Neurospora crassa OR74A: one gene and its partner. The protein of the gene in region 2 binds, or shares a complex with, the protein of the main gene of each other region. Links are inferred from orthologs where the notes say so. Each region holds a gene or a part of one and is shown on either strand. Other genes may lie near its edges. The genes, in order: NCU16771 and NCU00690.

Region 1 (4,202 bases), on a different chromosome or scaffold from region 2:
ACCTTGGCACCCTTGCGCAACGGCTCTGGTCCGCAAGGCATGCAGAGAAGCGCGTTGGCCCCCTTCATACTTCCTACCCGCGAGCTTCTCTGTCCTCCTGTGCTGACCGCGGTGAGCACTCCGTCCCTGCTAACGGAGACAATGGCCCGGTGGTACTCGGGTCTAGATCTATCGAGGGAGAAATCATGGCCCAGTGTCACAGGCACCTTTGGCAAGCCAGGTGGTGAGACGCCCGACATTTGGTGCAGAGACGGCAGTACAAACAAGTGAAACGTAACCAAAGCCGATGCCGGGTTACCTGGTAGCGAGAAGATTACCTTGGAAACTCTCTCTCCGTCGTTATCCTTTACCGGAACGGTAGCAAACGTGGTAGGCTTGCCGGGCTTCATTGCCACCCGACCAAAGCGAATTGTTCCGCCCAGCGAACGCTCTATCGTCGGCTTGAGGAGATCCAGCTCACCCATGGACACTCCGCCGGTCGTGATCACCACGTCAACCTGCCTCAATGCCTGCCGCAGCGTCTCCTCCAAAGTCCCGGCCTTGTCCCGCGCCACTCCAAGATCAATCACCTCATACCCCCAATCTCTCGCCGCCGAAATGAGAGTTGGCCGGTTCGTATCGCGCACCTCGCCCAGCCGCAAGTCTCCCGGGCGATCATGGTCCACAATCTCATCACCCGTAGATAGAACGCCAACAACAGGACGTCGGTACACCTGCACCTCACCCACACCCACGGCGGCCAACAGACCAATCTCACCCCCCACAGCAGACACCTGATCTCCCTTGCCTAGAATCAGTTGCCCCTGCTTGATATCACTTCCCACCTCCCTAACATTTTCGCCTTCGCGAACTTTATCAGCTGCTAAAATCTCCACCTCCTTCTCCTCCTCCACTCCCTTTCCATCCTCCGCATCCTCCGTCTTGGATGACGTCGTCGACACCAACACCGTATCCTCCACCATAATAACCGATGTCGCACCCGGAGGCAGGGGTGCACCCGTGGTGATCCGGGCAATCTCGCCCTCTTTGAGCGTCGGCATTTTTTCCCCATCTCCAGGAGCGGCATGCGAAACCGACACGACGGGGAACACGCCGCGCATGTTCCCGTCTTGGGGCACGACTACGGCGTAGCCGTCGACGATGCTAGCGCGAAAAGCGGGCACATTTTCGCGCGCCGAAACGTCCTGCGCCAGAACGGCGCCGATGAGCGAGCTATCGACTTTGGAGGTGACGATTTGCGGCATCGGCGTGTGTTGCGCTATTTGGGAGAGCGCTTCGGAGACAGAGAGCATCGGGTAAGGAGACTCGCGGTGGCGGCGGCTGGGACCTAAGCTGGGATCGTTGGACTTGGGGTTTTCAGAGGGGATGGTGTGTCGGACTAGACCGGCGTGGCCGTGGCCTGGGCCGTGACCGTGGTTATGGCCATGCCCATGGGCGCCACAGCCTCCCCCTCCTCCTCCTCGGTGCTCGCCATGGTCGTGATGCTTGTGTCCATGTCCGTGTCCATGTCCGTGACCATGTCCACGTCCACCACCTCCTTCTACTCCCGCCTCCTGCTCCAATTTCTTCACTCCCCCCTTATGTAAAGCTCTAGAGTTAGCACCAGCAGCCTGCATGCAAGCGTGGGGCAGCATTTTGATCACTGCTTGCAGATTCTCCTTCGCGCCCTTGGGGGACCCAGGCAGCGCAACGATAACGGTGCCGTTCCTGACGCCAGCCACAGGTCGTGACATCATGGCAAAGGGGGTCACTTGCAGCGAAGCCGCCAGCATGCCGTGGACCAGGCCAGGAGCATTCTTGTGTAGGAGAGCCGAGACGGCTTCGGTGGTTTGGTCGGACACGGCGAAGCCGGTGCCGCCTGTGGTTACGATGAGGTTGATGGTGTTGGTGTTGTTGTTGTTGTTGTTGTCGCCACTTGCGGCGGTGGCTTGGTTTGTCCAGTGGATGATTTGCTTCTGGATTTGCACGACATCGTCGGGAACGATTTTGGATTCATGGACCTCCCATTGGGCTTGTTGTTCATCGAAGACCTGGCGGAGAGTGACGTCGGCCGAGTCCGTTGCGGGGTCTTGAGCTGCTGTCGTTGAAACGATAAGGATGGCTGCTTTGAGCGCTGCTGGAGTAGTACTTGAGGACATGATTGAGAAATGTGACACACAATACTGCGCTGGAGAAACGGTGTAACAGAATCTCCTCGTTTGTGCCAACTATTGATGAACTCTGTAGGAAAGGGAGTATTGTGATGGTGTCATGGTGTTGATGTGCCATGCCGGTACTCGGAAGCTGATAAGATAGGCACCCCTGTAAGCCGTACCTCAAGGTACCTGGTGTAGTTCTCCACCAAAACTTCGTGTGGGGAAGTGGAGCGTGTGAGGATCGAGAGTTTGCATGCTTTTGCCGGCGGCAATTATTTGTAACTTGATGTCTGAAAGTTGAATTTCAATTGCATTGATTTCACTCTCATTCACTCCATTGTACGTCAGTGATAGCGCACCCTCAGCTTTTTAATCCACGATTGCACCGGATCAAGTTCTCTTATATCTATCTGTACGGGTGTTCTCAGCAGACTGTTTGTGGTTTTTTTTCTTCTCTGTTTAGAAACGACGTCTTCGGGAAAACTCCTACAACCATGGTCCGCCTTAAAGATCGCTATCTGTTGGTCAACATTGTCTACGCAGACATTCCTCCTGGACAAAAGGGCACTGTACCCGATCTGCTACTTTATAACCAGCCCACCCTTGGAGAACTCAGGCCCCAAACCATCTTGAAGGGCATTCGCAGTCAGGTGAATGCGTTATTTGGTGATTGCGGGTCAGGCTCTGTCGAGCGCAGCCTACAAGGTAAACACACCACTGAACTCTAAAACTTACATTTGGTAAAAGCGGCCACTAGGCTAACTTGGTATAACAGTCAAGTACCTTTCTACTGCGACCTCAACCTTCATTCTACGTATCTCACGAGCCCATTACAGGCTTGTGTGGGCTGCCCTGACCTTTATGGACCGCCTCCCAGTCAAGGACGGCCGACCGTGTATCTTCCGCGTTGTCCGCGTCAGCGGCACCATCCGCAAAGTCGAAGAAGAAGCCATCCGCCGTGCCAAGCTCCTTGTCCTTGCAGCAAAGGACGAGATGGCCGGCAAGGCATCATCAGATGCCCTCAATGCTCTCTTCCGCGGCGGCAAAGATTCAGCCCGCAATCTCGCCTTGGTCACCGATGACCACGATGACGCAGAAATGGGCGAGGGCGAGGTCTCTGATGGATGAAACAACCATGCCATTCGATCGTCATGTGTTCTGCTTACGCGTCACACGGATTCCCGAGCCACTGGTGAACTGTGGCGCCACTCCAGGGACCGAGCCGTCACCGAGACCTGCTTCTTCAGCGGCCCGTGCCTGCTCCGCCCGCAGTTTTTCTTGTTCTTCCTCCTCCTTCCGCTCCATCTCGTCATACTCTTCTTTGCTATCGATCCACCTCTCTTGAATATCAAGAGCATCGGGCAATGATGACTCGTTGCGCATGGCAACCTGCCAGACGGTGTCGTTCGTTCCCTCAGCGCCGCCAAAGACGTACCCACTTGCACGGTCAATCACGCGCAACAGATGCATCATACTCTTCTTGTTCTCGACTGCCAGCACCTCGAAGCTGACAAGGCCGAACTGCTCAACCATGTTCGCAACGGCCTCGTTAAGCTTGGTGAACTTGCCTTTCTTCAGGGCAGGCGATTCCGCGTCGAGGGACGGCATGAGGTACCGTAGGTCTTGTACTTCGGTGTAATAGTCGAGGTTGAATGGAAGAGGATCGTAGGACGAGATCTTGTCAATCTTGGTCAGGACGTTGATGTGGGGAAGGTCCATTTGCAACATGGCGCGCAAAGAGAGGAGGACGTTGGAAATGTAGAGCGATGGTTGTGTGAGGCAGAAGCAGTCGGAAAGGTGGACAACTACCAGCTGCAAGAGAATTAGCGGGAAGGACTGCGATTAGAGAGACGAGGAACAACGGCGCACCCTGTAGCCCAGCTTCTGTAACCGGTAAAAGATGTTGCGTAACGAGTTGTGGTGGGTGTAGAGCTCGACTTGACCAGGGCAGTCAAAAAGCACATAGTCTTCTCCAAGCTCCTTGAGGCCGTTCTCGAGCCATTCCATGTTATTTTCCAGCTCTTCAAGTGCGTACAGAATACCGCCATTGGGACCCAATTTGTCGTC
Region 2 (17,649 bases):
GAATATCCAAATCCTCCTCCACTAACTTCCCTCCTCCTCCTTCTCGATATTTGTCCCTCGGTCCCTTGGTCCCGAAAACCCTTCCCGCCTGTCTTTCGTTGTCCTCTTTTTTTTCCAGCCCCCTAGCTTTCCACCTACGTAACATTTGTAGATCCTCCTCCCAACTGATGACAAGGAAAGAGATGATGGGTCGGAGAATGCTCTCGATGTGGCCATACAAGACAAAAATTTATGAAGAAAAAAAGGGGGGGTATAGAAAATCATCAGCTTCGTAGCAAGGAAAAAGTAATGTAAATAAATGGTCATGGGACAGATGGTTCACTACTGGTAAAGGAGATGATGGGTACTATGTATGATGTGGACGTCTTGCGCTCCGTGTAATGTTATGCAGAATGCTGAATGCTGCTGAGAGATGATGATGATGATGATAATGATGATAAATGGGACATATGAGAGAGTTGAAGAGTGATGCTGAATGATTTTCTGACAGTCTGCCGCTTGATGGATGGATGGTTGGTTGGCGGTGGTAGTATTGTATTGATAAGGGTAATCGTCAGAATTGTATGTGAGCTTGTTGAATCGTAGGGGTATCGTATTTGGTACGTATGTGTTAAATATAATGATGAGGTGAAAAAAGATGGGGAGGAGATTGTCCGTTTAAGCATCACCGCATAGTACGTGGTGATACCGGTGGTGATTGTTCCCCCGGAGCCACCAGCCGAGTCCGCGACCTGTACCTGCGAAGCTCAGCTTCGAACCGAGCTTGTGTCGGGGTCACAGCCGGCGTCACCGTCTTGGGTGTTGAGGGTAATTCGATCTCGGTGGTCTTGATGTTGTCGTTGTTGCTGAGAGGCCACCCATCCTCCTTCATTTCGGCTTCAGCCTTGGGTCGTGCGAGCTCAATGACTTCTTGCTCTTGCAGATGAGCGGCAGCTGTCGTCTCCTCTTCTTCGCTCTCAGTTTCCGTGTCGCTCTCAGTCGTAGTCGCAGCAGGCCACTGCGGCACAGCCATGGAAGCGTACCGCATTCCAGTTTTCTTCTCCTGCTCTACCCTCAAAATCTCCACGCTGACCAGCCATCTCTTCTGCAGCTTGACCTTCCTCTGGGCAAATGTGCGGGAGACGGCATCTGCCTCATTGGCGAACTCGACGGCGAGGTCCTCGAGTTCTTCGGATTTCTTGTGGAGAAGGGCTTCCATCTCGTCTTCGTGGCGGTCGAGTAACTGCTCCATCTTTTTGCCTTGCTTCTCGCGAAGCACGTTGATCTGGGCTTGGTGCCGTCTCTCCATGCCGTCGCGGATGCGGTATTGCTCGCTGAGCTGGTCGAGGTGTTTTTGGGTGACCTCCCTAGAAGGCATCTTCGAGTCCTGCAGGGCTTGGTCCTTCTCGCTTACTTCCTCAACTTGCGAAAGCGTCTTACAGTAGGCTTCCATGTGCTTGAGCTGTATCTTGATGCTCCGTTCCGAAGCGTCCAGCGACGAGCGGAGTTCCATCTCGGCTTCGATCTGCCGGTCCTCGAGGTGCTGCTCTGTTTTCGCATGGCGCTCCTTCATTTTCTCTGTGAGCTCCGCGTACTTCTCCAGCAGCGCCTTCTTCTTCTCCGACTGCTTTGTGCGCATGTCTTTGCGCATCCTAGCCTCGTATGCCAAAACCCTGGACATTTCATGGTTTTGCCGTTCCCTTAGCGCCTGAAACTCTACACTGTCTCGCGTCCTCCGTTCCGCTGCTTGTTGCGCCCGTCCCTCCGCCGCAGCCGCCTCTTCTTGCTCCCGCTTCTTCACTTCCAGCTCCGCGAGGCGCGTCTCTTCCTCCCTCCTGCGCCGCTCGAGCTCCTCCTCGCCGTTGCAAAAGTTGGGACACCCAACAACAGGATCCCATACGGCACCGCAAATGTAGCAGAACTGCGCCTTGCACCGGCATGTCATGTGCGTGCACCCCTGCGTGAGCTCAACCAGGTTGCGGCACTTGTAGCATCTACGCCACCCGGATTTCTCACCCATCTTTAGCACCGTCTCCAGCTCGATGTCCTCGGGGCAATCCTGCCCGAGCCGATGGGCGCTGCGCTTGCAAATGAGGCAGACGCGCATCTTGCACGTCTTGCACATGGTCTCGAAGGGGTGCTTGGGGTCGAGCTTGGCTCTAGGCGGGATAAACTCGCCGCAGGCCGGGTTTGGGCAGAAGATGCGGGATTCCCAGGGCGTGCTGTATTGGAGGACGGCCTTGAGGAAGGCCTGCTGCTCCTCGCGGGTGAGGATCGTCTTGATGATGGAGCTGGGAATGGGCTGGGTGCAGCAGCGGGGAGGCATCTTGGACTCGTCGGTGGTGGATTGGTTGATCATGACGGCCAGACAGTTCTGGCAGTAGGTGTGGCCGCATGGTAGCGTCTGGAGGAGGTGGTTCTCTTGGGCAAATTCCTCGCGGCAGCATATGCAGATCCTAGGAAACGGTAGAACTCGTTAGATGTGTCGTTCCAACATGGCTCATGATGCCCAGAGTATCTGGGTGGGTGGGGCTAATGATCCAGCAAAGTCACTTACACGATTGGTAACGCCGGATACGTTTTCCTCCTCTTCAACCTGCCTGTGAGGCCGCGCCGGAGCTCCCTGACGCCCTTGAAATGCCCAAAGCCAAAGATGTTGTGCGACGGCCGCCTTGTGGGCGCTGCTGGGTTGGAAAACTTTGGTTGGTGGAGCGCGGGTTTCAGCTGCGTCAAGTACTTCTCATACTGGGAAAAGTTGACAGTGTTGGACCTCTTCCTGCTCGTGGATTGTGTGAGAGTTGCCGGCATTGCTGCCGACGAGTTCGAAGCCATATCATTATCGGTGCCTGTGGCCGTTTCGGTGCCGGTGGTACTGTCGTTCGAGCATATTGTGTTGGAGCGCTGGTGGGCAACGAGAGTGCTGCTTCTCGCTGATGTGGCGTTCAAGGCAGTGGGATTTCCCAGGCTGTCAGTAAGGTTCGAGACATCGATTCCCAGACTCGAAGCCTTTGCCGTCAAGCTCTCCTCGATCTCGGCCTCAGTGGCGGTGGCATCTTCCGTCGTTATCCCGAAAACCTCACGGAGGTATTCGGACTCGTCTAGTTTGGGTGGGTTGGCGACGGTGCCGACCAGATGGGCCGACGACAACGATACTGAGGTGGATTCAGCCATATTCCTTCACGAATCACTTGATAATTCTCCATCTACTTCTGCCCCTGTTGACACAGCAGATATCTGGGGTAAACAGCGAATGGTTACCGAGACAGTCGAAAGGCATATGGCGGCGGCAGAGAAAGAAGACCGGAGTGGTAGCTATGTGAAGCGGGAGTTTTGGGAATTGGATGAAATATGTATTAAAGATGCGGTCCAATCTATCAGAAGAGGAATTCCCATGACGCAAAACTATGGGCAAGGGTGGGGTTCATGCATCCGGAGAGGTTTAGGTGGTTGTAGTGTCAGTTGCATGTCGATCCCAAGGGCTGGCTGGATGTCCAGGGCTTTGGGGCCGCCGTCGTTACGTGAGCTGACTGATTAGGCCAAATCAACAGCGCTATCACTCGGCTACCAATATGTGAGGTGTTCACTAATGTACGGCGTTCTCAATAACCAGGGCTGAGAGTGGTTACCGAAAAATGCCCGGAGCCCTGAGGAATGGTGAGATCTAGTATAGTGTAGCGTGTTGGCAAGGGAAGGCAAGGGACGAGGAAAAGAGTAAGATGACGGGAGGAGTAAGCTCGGATAAAGTTGGGAGCTGTGGTGGAGGGGTTCAAGGGGGAGGGAGATGGAGGAGGGAGAGAGATGGAGTGTTTGGTCGGCGGCAACGGAGAGCAAGAGATTTGAGATGGAGGGATCACACGAAAAGCGGCAGAAAGATCGCCAGCTAAAGCAAGTGATGTGCAGTAGACCAGACGAGGGTTGCAGTTTGGCGCCCAAATATACATCACCTTAGCAGTGCATGATTATATTGTACATTACATATCAAGGCCCGACTTGCATTCTGCACGCATCAAGGTCACTAGACCATCACTGCTTGTGCCAATAGCTAAGAGCAGGTTGTCTCTATCGCCAGCTGTTTGGATCCATAGCTGGATGAAAAGAAACACATGGAATGTCTACCTAGGTATCATGCCCATCAAGAGAAGGGATGTTGGTACACTTGGTGACGGGGTCCTCAATGCTGTTGTTGATGTTGGGGGGACAGTGGACGCCGCACAGTTGGTGCGTTTATACACTAGACTTACTGGCGCTGGCTGGCCAAGAAACGGGCAAGGGTGTACCTACCTAGGTACCTATGTGATGCGCCTGGGCTGCGTGAATCCCCGGGCCCCCGAGGGGTGGGAGCCAGTGACTGCCTCGGGCAACTGGGTGGGGGCCCTGGGGTTGGTAGGTCGGTAGGTACGAATCAGGCAAGTGGAAGTAACAAATCCAACAACTTGAACGCCTCGCTGACTGGCATCAGGGGAGGCCAAGATGGGAATTGTACACTATGTACAAGGTCGAGGTCGAGGAATTGAAGTCCGCTTTTCTGTCTGTGTTCGTATGACAACTATGGTACACTACATCCATGTAGTAAAAAGACAGCCAACCTCACTCGCCAGCGCCAAAAGAGCCTCAGCCCAACGACACGAGTTTCCCGCCACACAAGCAACCAAAGGGGAACAGATTCGGGACCGAACACTAACTTCGATTGGTCTTTGATGATGGAAGAAATGCCCCGTCAAAAGCTTGCTGATTCCGAAAAACTTGATCTTCTGCCCTCAGCTCCTTGGAAGGAGAGCCACTGAGCTAGCCAAGTGGGAGAAAAAAGGCGCTTTGAAGACCGACTTTCCAAACCAGAGGTGAAGGAACCGATAACATGTTGGAATCTCAAATCCTTCATGCAAATCTGCAAGGTGGAGGAGGTTGTCGAGGCTTTCTTGGCTTTCTTGGCAAGTTCGGCCATTTGAAGTATCGTCATCATTGTCAACATACGACCAGGACCGCTGTCAATGTCTTACCAAGTCTTGCCTTTTCCCCATTCTCCGTAGCGCCAGGTACCACAGCGCTGTGTATCTTATTCCCGTACTTCTCCCGACCTTCAATCTTGCCATCTTAGCTTCCCAAGTACGCTTTCATACAGCGGAGGTCGTTGTCGCCGTCACGGCCGGGGAAGGACAGTCACGATAGTGCAGGCCCACTACCTAACCTACCTAGTGTAAGTAATTGAGATCGATTTTGACCCAACATTAGACCCTTCATCGTCCGCTCGCACCGAATTTCGTCCGTCGCCCCATCGTTGACGCCCGTCATCTCACATGTCCACCCTCAAGGGCCATCAGCCCCACCGGTCCTCATCACACGACAGCGCGCGCGCTCGCACGACAGACGATGGCGGTTTCGACTTTCGAACGCGACTCAAGTAGCGGCTCATCCCACTTTGGTGAGAGTCTTGTGATAGAATCATAGGATAGGTAGGTATTACATACATGGTCACACCAAGTGGGCTTCTTCTATGCTAAAGTAGTGTGTGTAGAGAGGACAAAAGTCTCAGCGAGTCCTTTTCTGCATTTTTCACCTTCGCGATATCCTCGCCGACCTCCCTCACCGTCGGTATTGTTCCTCTTTTCCCTTGCTCACTTACTTGTAGTACGTGCGTAAAGTAAAAGCTTGTTCAACCCCAGAACTGCATACTGTACGAGCTGTGGCAGCCAGCCAGCCAGCCAGCCAGCCAGTTCGTAATCGTAGAAATCACTAACAACAACAACGACCGCCAACAGAAATAACTGATTATGACCGACCCCTCCCTTTTCCCTTTTACTAACAGATTGGTAACACAACCAAGACTGACGGAGGACAAGAATTCCAAATTTCCTTTTTTTGAAAGCTTTTCCGCTTTGGTTAGTGCAGTAGACCAACAACAAGCACTACATTAGTGTAGTAAGCAACAGCTGAAAGGCAGACAGACAGACAGCCAGCCAACTTTCGGTTTAGTGTACTTTGATTGATAGGTAATGCATTCAGCTTTCTTACATATATTGTTGTTGTTGCTGAAGATCATCCACCCACCCCAAATTGTCCAGCCAAAACGAGCAGCTGCATATCCGTCTTTCCGACCTCTGTCCTTTTTTTTTTTTTTTTTTTTTTTTTTTCCCGGCTTTTGACTTTGCTTTTTTGACTGGGCTGTCTTCAACAACTCTTTTGTCTCTCATCAACCGAAGCGAGTATGGAACCCATCCCCTTCCCGGTTGGTTGGGAAGCTTGCCCCAGGCTGCTATCGACAATATGTTTTTTTTTTCTCTTTTTTTTTTTTTTTTTTTTTTTTTTTTTTCCATGGGCGAGTTGGTTAAATAAGGTGAGACTGTCATCGATGGGGATACTTGGGCACTAAAACTCTCGCCAGCCGGCCAACAGCACCGGGGCGGGGTGTAGTGCATACCTAGTTAGGTAGGCTCTTGGTAGGTTTCCCCCAGAGACGCCCGGGCATCTCCTACAGTATGTAGTGTAAAAGCCGAAAGGCTGCAGCAGCGGAATGGATGGGGGCCTTGGTGATGTCCTTGTCCATGTCCACTGTCTGGAAATCTTGGTTCCACCGACGACGATCTTCCCGCTTTCTGCACCCCCGTGGACAAGGCCTAACGAAAAAGGAAACTTGGACTAACAGACTTTTTTGAAATTGCCTTGTACATCTCTTCGGCTTATGTACACACACACACACAGACTTTGCATCGTGGCCAGCCCGGGTTTTGCTGATTACATACACTAAGTAAGATCCCGATAGGTTTACCATTCGGTAATCTTAGACAATGGGGATGTGCCGAGCATACACACTGAGACTAACGAGTTACGACTTTCGGAGGGGAACTACGTGATTGTCTAGGCGATGTCACGGTTCATCGTACATGTGTCATGATTGTGGGAGACTGGCCAGAACTTGACTTTGCCTGTCTTTTGTGGTTCGATAAATTTTTTTCTTCCCGCGATGATTGTTATGCTGAGAGAGTTCGCTATGTTAAGGCTCGGAGCCCAGACGGTTCTTATCAGAGGCGGGAGAGTAAAGCTATGCAATTCTGAGCGGCGTAGCGTCGGTCATCAGGCTTGTGGCATTGGAAGCTTTCAATGACATGGACGCTGGTTAGACATATGTAAATACTACTGTGAAAGAAGCTCGCCGTCGACCGGTTAATTTAGCCCAATTCCCTGAAGCTTCGGTATCTGAATAGCCGAGACAGGGTTTAAGCAAACTACAGAGTATTCCCATTCTTCAACAAATCTTCATCACCTTCACTTTTCTTCTTTGAGACCTCATTTCGGTGAGTTTTTTTCACGGCTTGCAGCCCGCCCACTATCGATATCGACAGCCGCGTCCATTAACAGGTATCTTCATCAATGCCACATCTCTTATCATGTAGTATCATCTCATCTCAACATCTCACGATGTTTTCACACCAGCTCCCACCTAGCCAGCCAGCCTACATTCTCCCCGGCATTCCTCACAATACAGAGCCTTCCTTCTTTGGGGCCCGACTCTTTGACCGTATCAAACGCCTTCTCGGCAGAGATTGCCCCAACCGCCGTACCCTTGCCCTCGCTAAGGCTGTACGCCCCGGCCGTCACGAACCCGATCAGGTCCTCCTCGCCGGGGCACAGCGGATGGCCACCGCCAATGTCTGTCTGATTAGCTGTAGGCCTGGGGTAGGGTAATGGATCCCCTGACAGGAGAGACTTGGCCATTAATTGTTTTCGAGTACCCTGACCAACGTCGCGAGACATATGTGGTGCTGCGTGTGCTGTGGTGACTTTGGTAGACCTGCTGCCGCTTTTGTTGCCGGGGATTTTCTGAAGCCATTGATCGCGGAGATCCGCAGGTAGAGATCCCATGCCGGCCGCGACCGGATCAGTAGCGGGTACCTCCGTCTCCGACGACGGGACAGCCGTCGTTGCTGAAGGCTGAGATGGAAGACGATATATTCTGGCGCACGCGTTTGCAACGCCTCTGGTTACAAATGTGATGTTGACTGATATGATCGACCGTGGGGGAGGTCTGCCCGAATTCACCGAGGAGATAAGGGCCTGAAACTCTGTCTTCTTCATCTGCTCAACCGTCGTCAAAGACGGCACTGTATTTTTGTGGACCTTCCCCAACTTGGCTGCGGCTTCAGCCTCTTCCCCAGGATGAAGGTCCATTGCATTTGGATCGACATCCGACGTTGATTGATCCTCGCAGGAGTTCGGCAAATGATCCGTGGGCAAACCGAGAAGATGCTCAAAATCGCACGCTAAGCCATCTCCAATCTCGCCCTTTCGTCCAGCGCCGAGATCCAGCGAGGCCCATTCAATGCGCTTGCCCCTCGGCCGCCGGTCCCAGGCCTTCTTGCGCTGCGCGCGCTGTTCCATCTCCCATACCACACCCGCATTCGTCCCAAGAAAATCCCCAGGAAACCAGGGAGTCCCTTGTTCAAAAGCAATCTGCCGCTGCTCATTCAACCCCCCTAGCCGAGGATTGCCTCCAGTGGATAAGGGATAATGGACAATGCTGTACCATATCGGCAGAATACATTTCCATGGCGCCAACAGTGTCCATGTACCCTGTGCCTGACCACCAGCTGCCGGTCTGGAGGTGAACGCGATGACTGGTATAGGAGGGTCCGCTGCTGTGACTTGCATCTCTTGCCCTGGGGTACTGGCGCCCTTTCGGCGATTGATGGACTTTTGTGGTGGTAGACTGGAAGCTTTGAAGCGAACATCACGGTCGAAGAGCCCATATGGCTTCACCTGTTCCTCAACAGGCCATTGAGTCAAAGTATCGAGCAGAGCAGAATCGCTCACCTTGCTGGCGGTGTCGACCCGCTTGGGAGGATACGACAATCGCGGGTCTTTGATTGAGAAGCCCAGTACTGCGTCTTTAGGAAGAGAAGCGGGATTTGTTACCCCAACTAGAGAGGAGAAAACCTGCCCATGGCGCTCCTCGGTATAATATGGTTGAAGCACGGCAAGCAATGTCTCTGTGGAACCGGGTCCAGTAAGCTCGATGCTACCGATTTCGAAACGCAAGTCCTCGACGTGAACTTGGGGCGTATGTAGCTTTGCGAGCTTAACCAGCTCGTCAAAGAGTTCAAGAAAGCATGAGGGGTGTGTCCTGATTAAGATTTGTCGTTGAGTCTTCTTCAGCTCGGTAGTGTTTGACTCGGGCGCGGCAGTCTCGACGGTCGGAGTGGGGTTCCATAGAATCGTAGCAGGCCCGATGTCCCTTCTTGAATTCCTTTGCTGTCTGCTCACCATACCGCTCCATGTCCTCGTACCACTTCTCCATTTCCTGCCACGGTTGCCCCATAGACTCTCCTGAACCAGCCCTAGTGCCTTGAGAACCTGCTCAATGCCTCCCGCTGCTCCGTAGAGCCTGACCGTGCTCATGTAACTTGTATCCCAGAAAACAGTTCCCTTTTGTCCAGAAGCTCGGTGGGTCGGTCGATAGCATTTTTGCGTCGGTGTCAAAGGGATCGCGAACCGCCACAGAGGCTTGGTTGACTCGGTCATTGTCGCTCGTTTGGCATGCCATAGATGGGTAGGGAGCCAGGTCTTGTTGATCTGTCTCTTTTTGAATTTGGACTTTGGCTTCGGGGGCTCGTTCAGGGTATCACGTCGTATCTTGGGTCTCGGGGCTCTCGTCTGGATCGTCGTCTTTCCGGGCTCGTCCCTGTTCTCTCCCCCGGCTTCATTTTGCAACGCCCTTTTCCTCTTCCTTGCGGCCAGTTTCTCGAGTCGCTTTGCGTTTTCGGCACGTATCCTGGCGCGTGTTGTACGTGGCCGTCGTTTCCTCGCTTCGACGGTCGGTGTGTTGTCCTCCATCATCTCTCTTTTGGCTCTGTCGCGCAGCCTCTTGGGAACCCTCTTGGCGTTGTGACTCGCCGTCCGCCGTCTCATCTCGCGCGGTACCTGCTGGAACACCCGGGTGGCGTTGGCGCTCTTGCATTTTCGCATGCTCGTCTCGAGGGCCTTGATCTCGAATTCACGGGCACTAAGGAACTTTTGGAGATCGAGCTTTCCATCGTCAAGGGCGGCGTCCGAAGGCTGGCTGCGGATGTTGCGTGCATCTTGGAACTTGACGCGTTTTTGTGGCCGGGCTGGAGGACGCGATTCTTTGCCTTGTTGGTTCTGATTCAATGGGGCTTCCTTGCGCTTCTTGGAATCGGCCGCCGCCTTGCCTGAGGCGGATTGTTTGTTGTGATTATCCATGGCGACTAGAGGCACCTATGGTTCCTTGGACATTGGCGTTGTTTGTATGCGGCGCATGGAGGTGCCCGATTGGGGTGGTGGTTGGTGATTTACCTACTTGGAGGAATTGGAGTCGGGCAGGTCTTGCTCAGTCTCAGTGACTGCATCACTGGCGCCGACTGACAAGGAACGAATGAGGAATTTCTGAAGCTCTTATCGGGCTTATCAGTCAATCGGCTAGCGGGCCCTAGCGGGGAAGGTGTCCCCACTTGGAAGAACGTCCAAACTCAGGTCCCGTTCCTTGACGATTCCACGGCATCCTGGACAGCGCTCTTGGCGGTCCCTTCAGTGGCGTAACACCGAATCTCGCCCCCCCAGCATCACACTCAGCCGGAGCACAGACTGGAAGCTCGGCATTCCCCAGTCTCCCGGTCTCGAACGGGCATTGTTCCAACCTCGACATCACCGCTATCCTGATGGGACTTCTGTAGGAAGAGTTTGTGGTGAGTGTGTAGACTTAGTTCTCCAGAGTCGTGGATGACGGAGTGAGGCCGCAAAGCGAATGGAAACCATTATCCTCATCGCCATGCCCGTTTGACATTAGTTCATTTAATTTAAGGGGCTCCTGCCTGGACATCCATCCATCATATCCGTGGTGCCGCGCAAAACAAATATGCCCAGGCAAATTGTTGGGCTAAAGAAAGGACTTTTTCCAGAATCTGTCGTGGAAGCATTACTAACCGGCAGTCCAAAGTTCTCATTCACCCACACACACACACACACACACATCTTAGGTCTTTGCTGTCTTGTTGTCGTGTTTTGGTCGATAGGGGGGTAATACGGAATACCTTACGTTACAACTGTGTTCGTCCGCGATACATGCCAAGCCATCCCTGACACGCCTCAACGGCACAACTCCAAGCTTTTCACTTTTCTCACTGACCTGAGGGTTTGTTTCCGAGTCCCGTTGTCGCTGTTGCGTTGTTGGAGTCTCGATATCGACGACTGGGTCCGAAAAGGGAACGCTCACGTTGCGGCAGGGGACCTCGGCGCCCCTTTGTGTCGGCGTCAACCACGGGAACCTGGATCGAACGGTCCGGTACAGTTACAGTCCTGAGACCGCGTACCGTACTTTGGAGACGGACGACGGAAATACCTGCTGAATCCGTCGCATGTAGACATGGCAGCCCTCAGTAAGCATGACTAGCCTTCCTCCCTCTTGTTCCTTTCATCACATCCGGCTTCCGCTTCATTCCATCCCACCCACCCACCTTCGTTCGCAGTTTCCCGCTCGTCTCAATGCGGCCACTCCCCTCCATCAATCTCTCCAGCTTATCATCACTCCTTCACCCCAAACCCTACCTGACTATGAACGTCCGTCCTGCTGTGCATGACGCTGCTGCATCTTGTCTACCGGCACTTCCAGCATTATGGAATGAACCTTGCCTTGAACACGCTGAATCTGCCTTCAAACTATCCATTGGTCGTGACCCGTTAAGCTGATATTATGCTTCACATTCCTCTAGTCGGCAAGGGTAAAAAGGTTCGTATTGACCCATTTCCTTCTGGTTACCTACAGGGACACACAGTACTAATACCTTTGCTCTAGCCCAAGTTTGAACTACACCTCAAGGCATGTCGTCCTCAATTTGAAGCTCGCTTTAGGTCGTCGTCTAACTCCAGCCCCAGATCTATGATTTGAACAATGTGCCACTGGTCTCTGGAGGGTCCCTGATCAAATGGCACTTCCCACATAGCATTCACTCGGAGCACCGTGGCAAGACGCAGAGATGCCCTATTGCCAACCACCGAGTTGAGTACAGCTACTCAAAGGTCATCCCTATCCGCATCGCTGTCGATCGTAACAACAACCTCACGGAATGCCCGATCGAGTTTGAGGTTCTGCAGCTCTTCAACACCAATGGCACAGTAAACGGCAATGGCCCAGCTCCGGCCCGGGAAGAGAAAACCACTCTAGGTGTCGTCCGCCTCAATCTAGCCGAGTATGTCGAGGAGAGTGAAACCATCCTCCGGGATGGTGTTGGAGCCGGCTTCATTCCGTTTCTCGGATCTCCGGGTGGCCCGGCAGCGGTCGATTTCCGGTTCGGGCACATCCGTAATCGCAGCTCACTAAGCGCGGTAACACCGGCACCAGCGGACGCTAACAGTCCCCAGTATCTACGGCCTGATGCAGAGGAAAAGGAGCAGGAACGTCCCATGACAGCCATGACCACCAAGACGTTCGCCACAACAACCACGGCGACCCCGGCAGAGGACGTCCAAGACGGCGTGGTGCGCCGCTACCTGATGCAGGACAGCAAGATCAACTCAACACTCAAGATCAGCATCCTCATGATCCAAGTCGAAGGCGAGCGCAACTTCATCGCCCCGCCGCTCAAGACGGCTCCCGTTTTCGGTGGCATCGCCGGCCTCGTGGCGGGCGACGTGCTGGACCCCAACGCCGACGCCCACAACTTCGCCCGCAACCACCATCAAGCCGCGGCCGACCTGGCACTGGGCCAGTTACCCAGTCTCAGCCACAAGTCGCGGGACGTGTTTGAATTGCAGGACTGCTACCGTCGGGTACTAGCTGCCAGCTGGGAATCCCAGCCGGGCGAGCTGACAGCTGACCAGTGCATCGAGGATATTTTCTCTGGAGGCGACGGGTTCCGAACGGACATGTCTTCAGCAGCGAACACCCCTACGCCCATCACGCGCGGTCGCGGCGGGCACAGCAATAACGCTCACAGCTTCGGGGACCGAGACGGTGAATTACGGGCGGGACACCGGAAGAAGCACAGTTTCGGAGGAGGACATGGCCACCACTTCCGCTCCACCTCGGGCCAGTACTACCGAGACCAGCGAGACAAGCTCGCGGCCGCCATTTCCCTAGGACTGGGTGGCACTCCGGTGGCGCCAACAACTCCCGGACCAAATAGATCCAACACCTTCCGCACCCCGAGCGCCAGTTCCGCTCGATCCCGCCACCCCCGGCACCGCGATGAACCCACCAGCGGCTCGGCTTCTGGAGACGAAGACAGCGGCAGCAACGGCAACAGTAATTACAACAAAGATACCCTCCGCCCACAAACCGCTGCCCCCTCACGAACCCAAACCCCAGGAAGCATGGCTCGCATAAGGCGGCACATCCGCCACCACAGCGGAACAAGTGATAAGAGCATTCGAACCATGATGACGGAGCAGCAACAACAAAACGACCAAGAAGGAGGCGCCGCCGACAAAGATAACTGGTATAACATCAACAACTACGGTTTCACCCGGGACCCCCGGGGAGCGGCAGACGAAGCCAATAACCTCAGAAACCTGCTCAACAGCCTCAACAACCACAACAACAATCCAAATTTCCTTAACGGCAATGGTTACAACAACCGCCCCGCGACCTCCGCTTCTACCGTCAATAAAATCAATACCTCCCTCAACAACGGCCTCTCCCCCGCCTTCCGCGACCTGGGCAAGATGCTTTCCCCCGCTGCTCCCGTCGGCCCCACTCTCGCTCCCCATTTGAACTCCCCCTATCAATTCCAAGACGCTGCTTCTTTGGGGGGGATTGTGATCACGGATGGAGACAAACACCCAAGCTATGAAAGTCATATTGGAAGAATGGATAGTTTTAGGGGACGCGATCGGAGTGATAGTGGCGCTAGTCTGGCGACTTTGTCGCTTGGTAGTGGGGTGGGAAGTGGGAGTGGCAGAGGAGCGTATGGCTATGGTGGGTATAAGAAAGCGAGACAGGTGGATGAGTTTGAGGTAAGGGAGGATTTGGTTGCTTGGACTATACCGGCATAGGGGACAAGGCCCTTTTTTTTTGGTCGGAAGAGAGATGGTGGAGGGTTGTGGACTTGAGTGTGATCAGTTCGTGGGATCGATAGATTTTGTTCCTTTTGTGTTGTTTTGTTTTGTAGCTTCACTTCTTACTTTCCTTTGTAGCGTGGAGTTGTTATAATATATGGTTCTTGGGCTTCAAATTGAACGCCGTTGGTTAGGCAAAGCAAACGCCAGTAAAATATCAGCGAGAAATCTTTTAGGGGTCTGGCATGTACATCTAAACGCCAGGTATCAAAAAGGCAACTCCTTTCGATGATGTCAAATCTCCTGCATGGTCCATCAGAATGCGAGTAACAATAACCTCCCCAACAACCACTTCCTCCCACACTCCCCTCCATTACTTCCCCCTCCCCGAACTCCCCTATTTAAAAGCATCAACAACCCTTCCACTCCCCTCCTCAATCTCCACAGCTCCCCATCTCTGCTCCCTACTCCTTCTAGTCAGCCCCTTTCCCTTCCCCTTCCTCTTCCCCTCTTGCCCCTCTTCATTTCGCCGTCCCGCCTCCTGTTGCTCCCCCTGCCCTTCTTTTTCTTGTTCTTTTTCTTCTTCTTCTCCTCCTTCTCTACTACTAACTTTGTCCAAAACCACATCCGAGCCCTCATAAACCCCAAGCTCATCCAGCAATACCTCCACTGCCCATACATACCCACCACCATAACCTCCGTAGCCTCCTCCTCCTCCTCCGTAAGCACCACCGCCGCGACGAGTCCTGCCCCTGGTAGGCACTTTGGTGCACAATAAATGTAAATCGAGCATCTGGGTGAAGACCATTCCGTACGAGGGCTTCATGTTTCTTCTTGCTGCTGACTGGGTTTGTGTTTGGTGAGGATGAAGATGGGTGTTATCATGATGGTTCCTGCCGTATCCCCCTCCACGTCCTCCATATCCCCCGGGGCCTCTGTAACTTGCAGCAGAAGGCGCACCAGCAGTGTGTCCGCCGACTAAGCCGCCCATGTACCCCGGTGCTGCTGCCTCTATAGGTGCCAGAGGTGTTGGTGGTGGTGGGTTGAAGATTGAGCGCATGATACTGAGGTCGGGTTGTTTTGGTCCTTTGTTGTTGTTGTTGTCGTCGAACATCGATATCGAGTTGGTATTGAAGGAGGATGAAGAGGTTGTTGTTGTTGGTGAGGTAGTCGAGTTTAGCATCATCACCAACGGCCCTCTCCGACTAAGTCCACGAATTTGATCAGAAAGCTGAACCGCCGAGTTATGCGCTGCGGACCTGTCGCTGCCGGTCTTGTTGCGGGTGAAGAGAGTGTTGAGGAGGTGGGAGGTGTTGGTTATTATGATTAGGTGTGGTAGTAGACCGTCTTCTTTTCTCTCCGTTCCTTTCTCTCCTGTTTCTCCTCCGCCTCGTCTCCCCTCATTCCCGTCACTATGGCTAACAACAGTCTGCTGCTGCTGCTCAACCTCCTCCAACTCCCTCAAAACCTCCCTCAACCCCTCTGCATCAAAAACCCTCGCCACCAACACCCTCTCCAAACAACGCATGATTACCCCTCTATCCACCTGGTGGTGTGCGTTGCCATTCCCTTGAAGCACCCTAGCCTCACTAACCAATGCCAATCTCAACCGAGGGAGCAAAGAAGTCGTGGAAAGTGTCGTGATGATCATGGCCTTTGCTTTTGACCCCGACGACGACGACGATGACGACGACGACGACGACATCAACAGCATCCTCGCAACAACCTGCAATCCAATCGCCAACCCAATCGTCTCCTCTTCTTCACAGCTTAGACCGACCACGCAACCCCCCTCGAATCCTCCTCCTCCAAGTCCTGCGTTGAGGAGAACATGGGAGTCGAGCTCGCGACAGCCGGTGGAGAAGAAGTCATTGCGATCGTGGGTCAGCAGCCGTGAGAGTCTGGGATCTTGGGAGAGGAGCAGGGAGGCGGGGAGGGGATGTAGGGTTGGAGGTGTTGGAGGAAGGTGCGATGGGTGGGATGCGTTGCGGTTGCTGTTTTTGCGGATGCTGGTGGGTTTGGGGATGGTGGTCATGACTGGACTACCACTCGAGTATAGTTTCTGTGCAGTGTGGCAATGGCGTGGCTCGATGAAGGGTGATGTTTCGGTGATTGTGTGGGTAAGTAGGGGTTTGTTCCGTCGTAAAAGGAAAAATCAAACTTGGGCTGAGGGGTTGTTGTCATTAGGTATTATAGAGCAGGTTCGACGTGGTTTGTTTTGCGACTGGACTTAGTTGTTTGGTAAAAGCCAAAATTTGTCGTGCAAAGAATGGGTGAGTTGGAGACAACATGCAAATTGCGTTGCTTCAAGAATCTCGGATTAGAAAAACTTCCGTTCGACACTGTAGCAACGAGTTAACACGACACATGGACAAGGTATCTCCATCAGTCAATGATTGCAAATCTCTAGATGTACCACAGTCCATCATTCGTTTTCTCAAATTTTCAAATAATACATACATACAACAAACACTATTCCATGTTAGTTCAAGGACAGTAAACCGTAGAATTCCAAAGGTAATAATGCCCTTAATCATGTGCGAGGTGAACTTGGTATGGTACTGTGCGTTGATTCTCGTTGAAAGCAGCTGCAGGAGGAAACAATGCAAGAAATAAAAACGACCGCGAAAAACAACCGTCCGATAGAAGGAATCGTCGACTCCCATTGACGTTTTAACAAAAAAACTAAACAGACAGAGAGAAAAGAAAGATAATAAGAGCACCATAGGAGGGGCGGTCCCAACGAGCACGCCTGTTACTCTCCTCCCATTATTTGCGCACCAAAAGCAAAACATTAGCAATTTTTTTGTACAGGAGTGTTCCTGCATGCCGCGATCGATTCCTCCAATGTGACTACCGAGAAACAACCCTTGCCCAGAACGGAGGTCCTGCTCGAACGATCCCAGCGACCATGTATAGAGCCATATGTCGTGCTTCGCGATTCCTCACGTCAAATATTGGCGTAAAACAACTCAGCAAATTTCCGCTTCAGGTCTTGATGCGAGATCGTGTCACCATTTCGCCGTTCACCCCACAAATCCTCGTTTCTACGCAAATTGCGAGGGCACAGGACCAGCGTCAGGGCCGGGAGGGGCCGGACGGGTCCTCCGTCCGCCCTTCAAGCTCTTCATGCGGCCCAAAATGCCAGTAGGCTTTTGCTGTCCTTCCTCGAGGGTCATGGCCGCATCCGTAGTAGCCCGGCGCTCCATGTTGCCTCTAGGGCTGTTGTTGTCGGTCTTCCGCACACTAAAGCCCTCCTCTCCTCCCTTGCCCTGGCTGTATTCTGAAAAGAAGGGGTTGCGTTCAGAGTTGGGTGTATTCATGCTGTTAGAAGTTCTACCACCCTCGCCGGGGGGGGATCTTGTGTACCCGTAATCTGCGCTGTTGAGTCGGCCTAGAGACTGGAACTCTCGCTCGCGGGAGGTGCTCTTGTTGATGTTGCGTATCCGGTGGGCAAGGGACTTCTTGCGCGCCAGACCGTTGGTAGTCAACTCCTGAGCAAGCTCGTCCTGGCGTTGCTGGATCGCGGTACGCGCAGCCGGTGTGCCCTCCAAGAAAGTCGAAGTGCCAAGTCCCAGGGACTCGTCGCCGTGCATGGCACTGCCGCGGGAAGTGGGGTCAAAGACGGGCAGCTCATTCTTGGACGGAAGGCCCTTGTCCCTGGTAGTC

The links.
Region 1: NCU00690 (region 2) and NCU16771 share a complex: the UniProt entries of both Saccharomyces cerevisiae proteins name them as parts of the nuclear RNase P and RNase MRP complex. The link is inferred for Neurospora crassa OR74A from reciprocal best matches to the Saccharomyces cerevisiae genes POP1 and POP5.

The regions. Positions count from the first base shown.
Region 1 is NC_026504.1:1,937,294-1,941,495, forward strand, and holds NCU16771 (Rpp14 family protein), read left to right. Parts: upstream 1-2,629; coding exon 2,630-2,840; exon of another isoform or gene 2,841-2,910; coding exon 2,911-3,263; 3' UTR 3,264-3,284; downstream 3,285-4,202. Other genes in the region: NCU09746 (gephyrin), read right to left, coding at 1-2,138; NCU09745 (ATP binding protein), read right to left, coding at 3,285-3,947, 4,005-4,202. UniProt on the Saccharomyces cerevisiae protein: Component of ribonuclease P, a protein complex that generates mature tRNA molecules by cleaving their 5'-ends. Also a component of RNase MRP, which cleaves pre-rRNA sequences.
Region 2 is NC_026501.1:7,532,829-7,550,477, forward strand, and holds NCU00690 (ribonuclease P complex subunit Pop1), read right to left. Parts: upstream 10,333-17,649; 5' UTR 10,192-10,332; coding exon 7,399-10,191; 3' UTR 6,989-7,398; downstream 1-6,988. Other genes in the region: NCU00691 (hypothetical protein), read right to left, coding at 665-2,435, 2,537-3,150; NCU00689 (hypothetical protein), read left to right, coding at 11,678-11,713, 11,780-11,803, 11,860-13,977; NCU00688 (hypothetical protein), read right to left, coding at 14,378-16,015; NCU00687 (hypothetical protein), read right to left, coding at 17,028-17,649. UniProt on the Saccharomyces cerevisiae protein: Required for processing of 5.8S rRNA (short form) at site A3 and for 5' and 3' processing of pre-tRNA.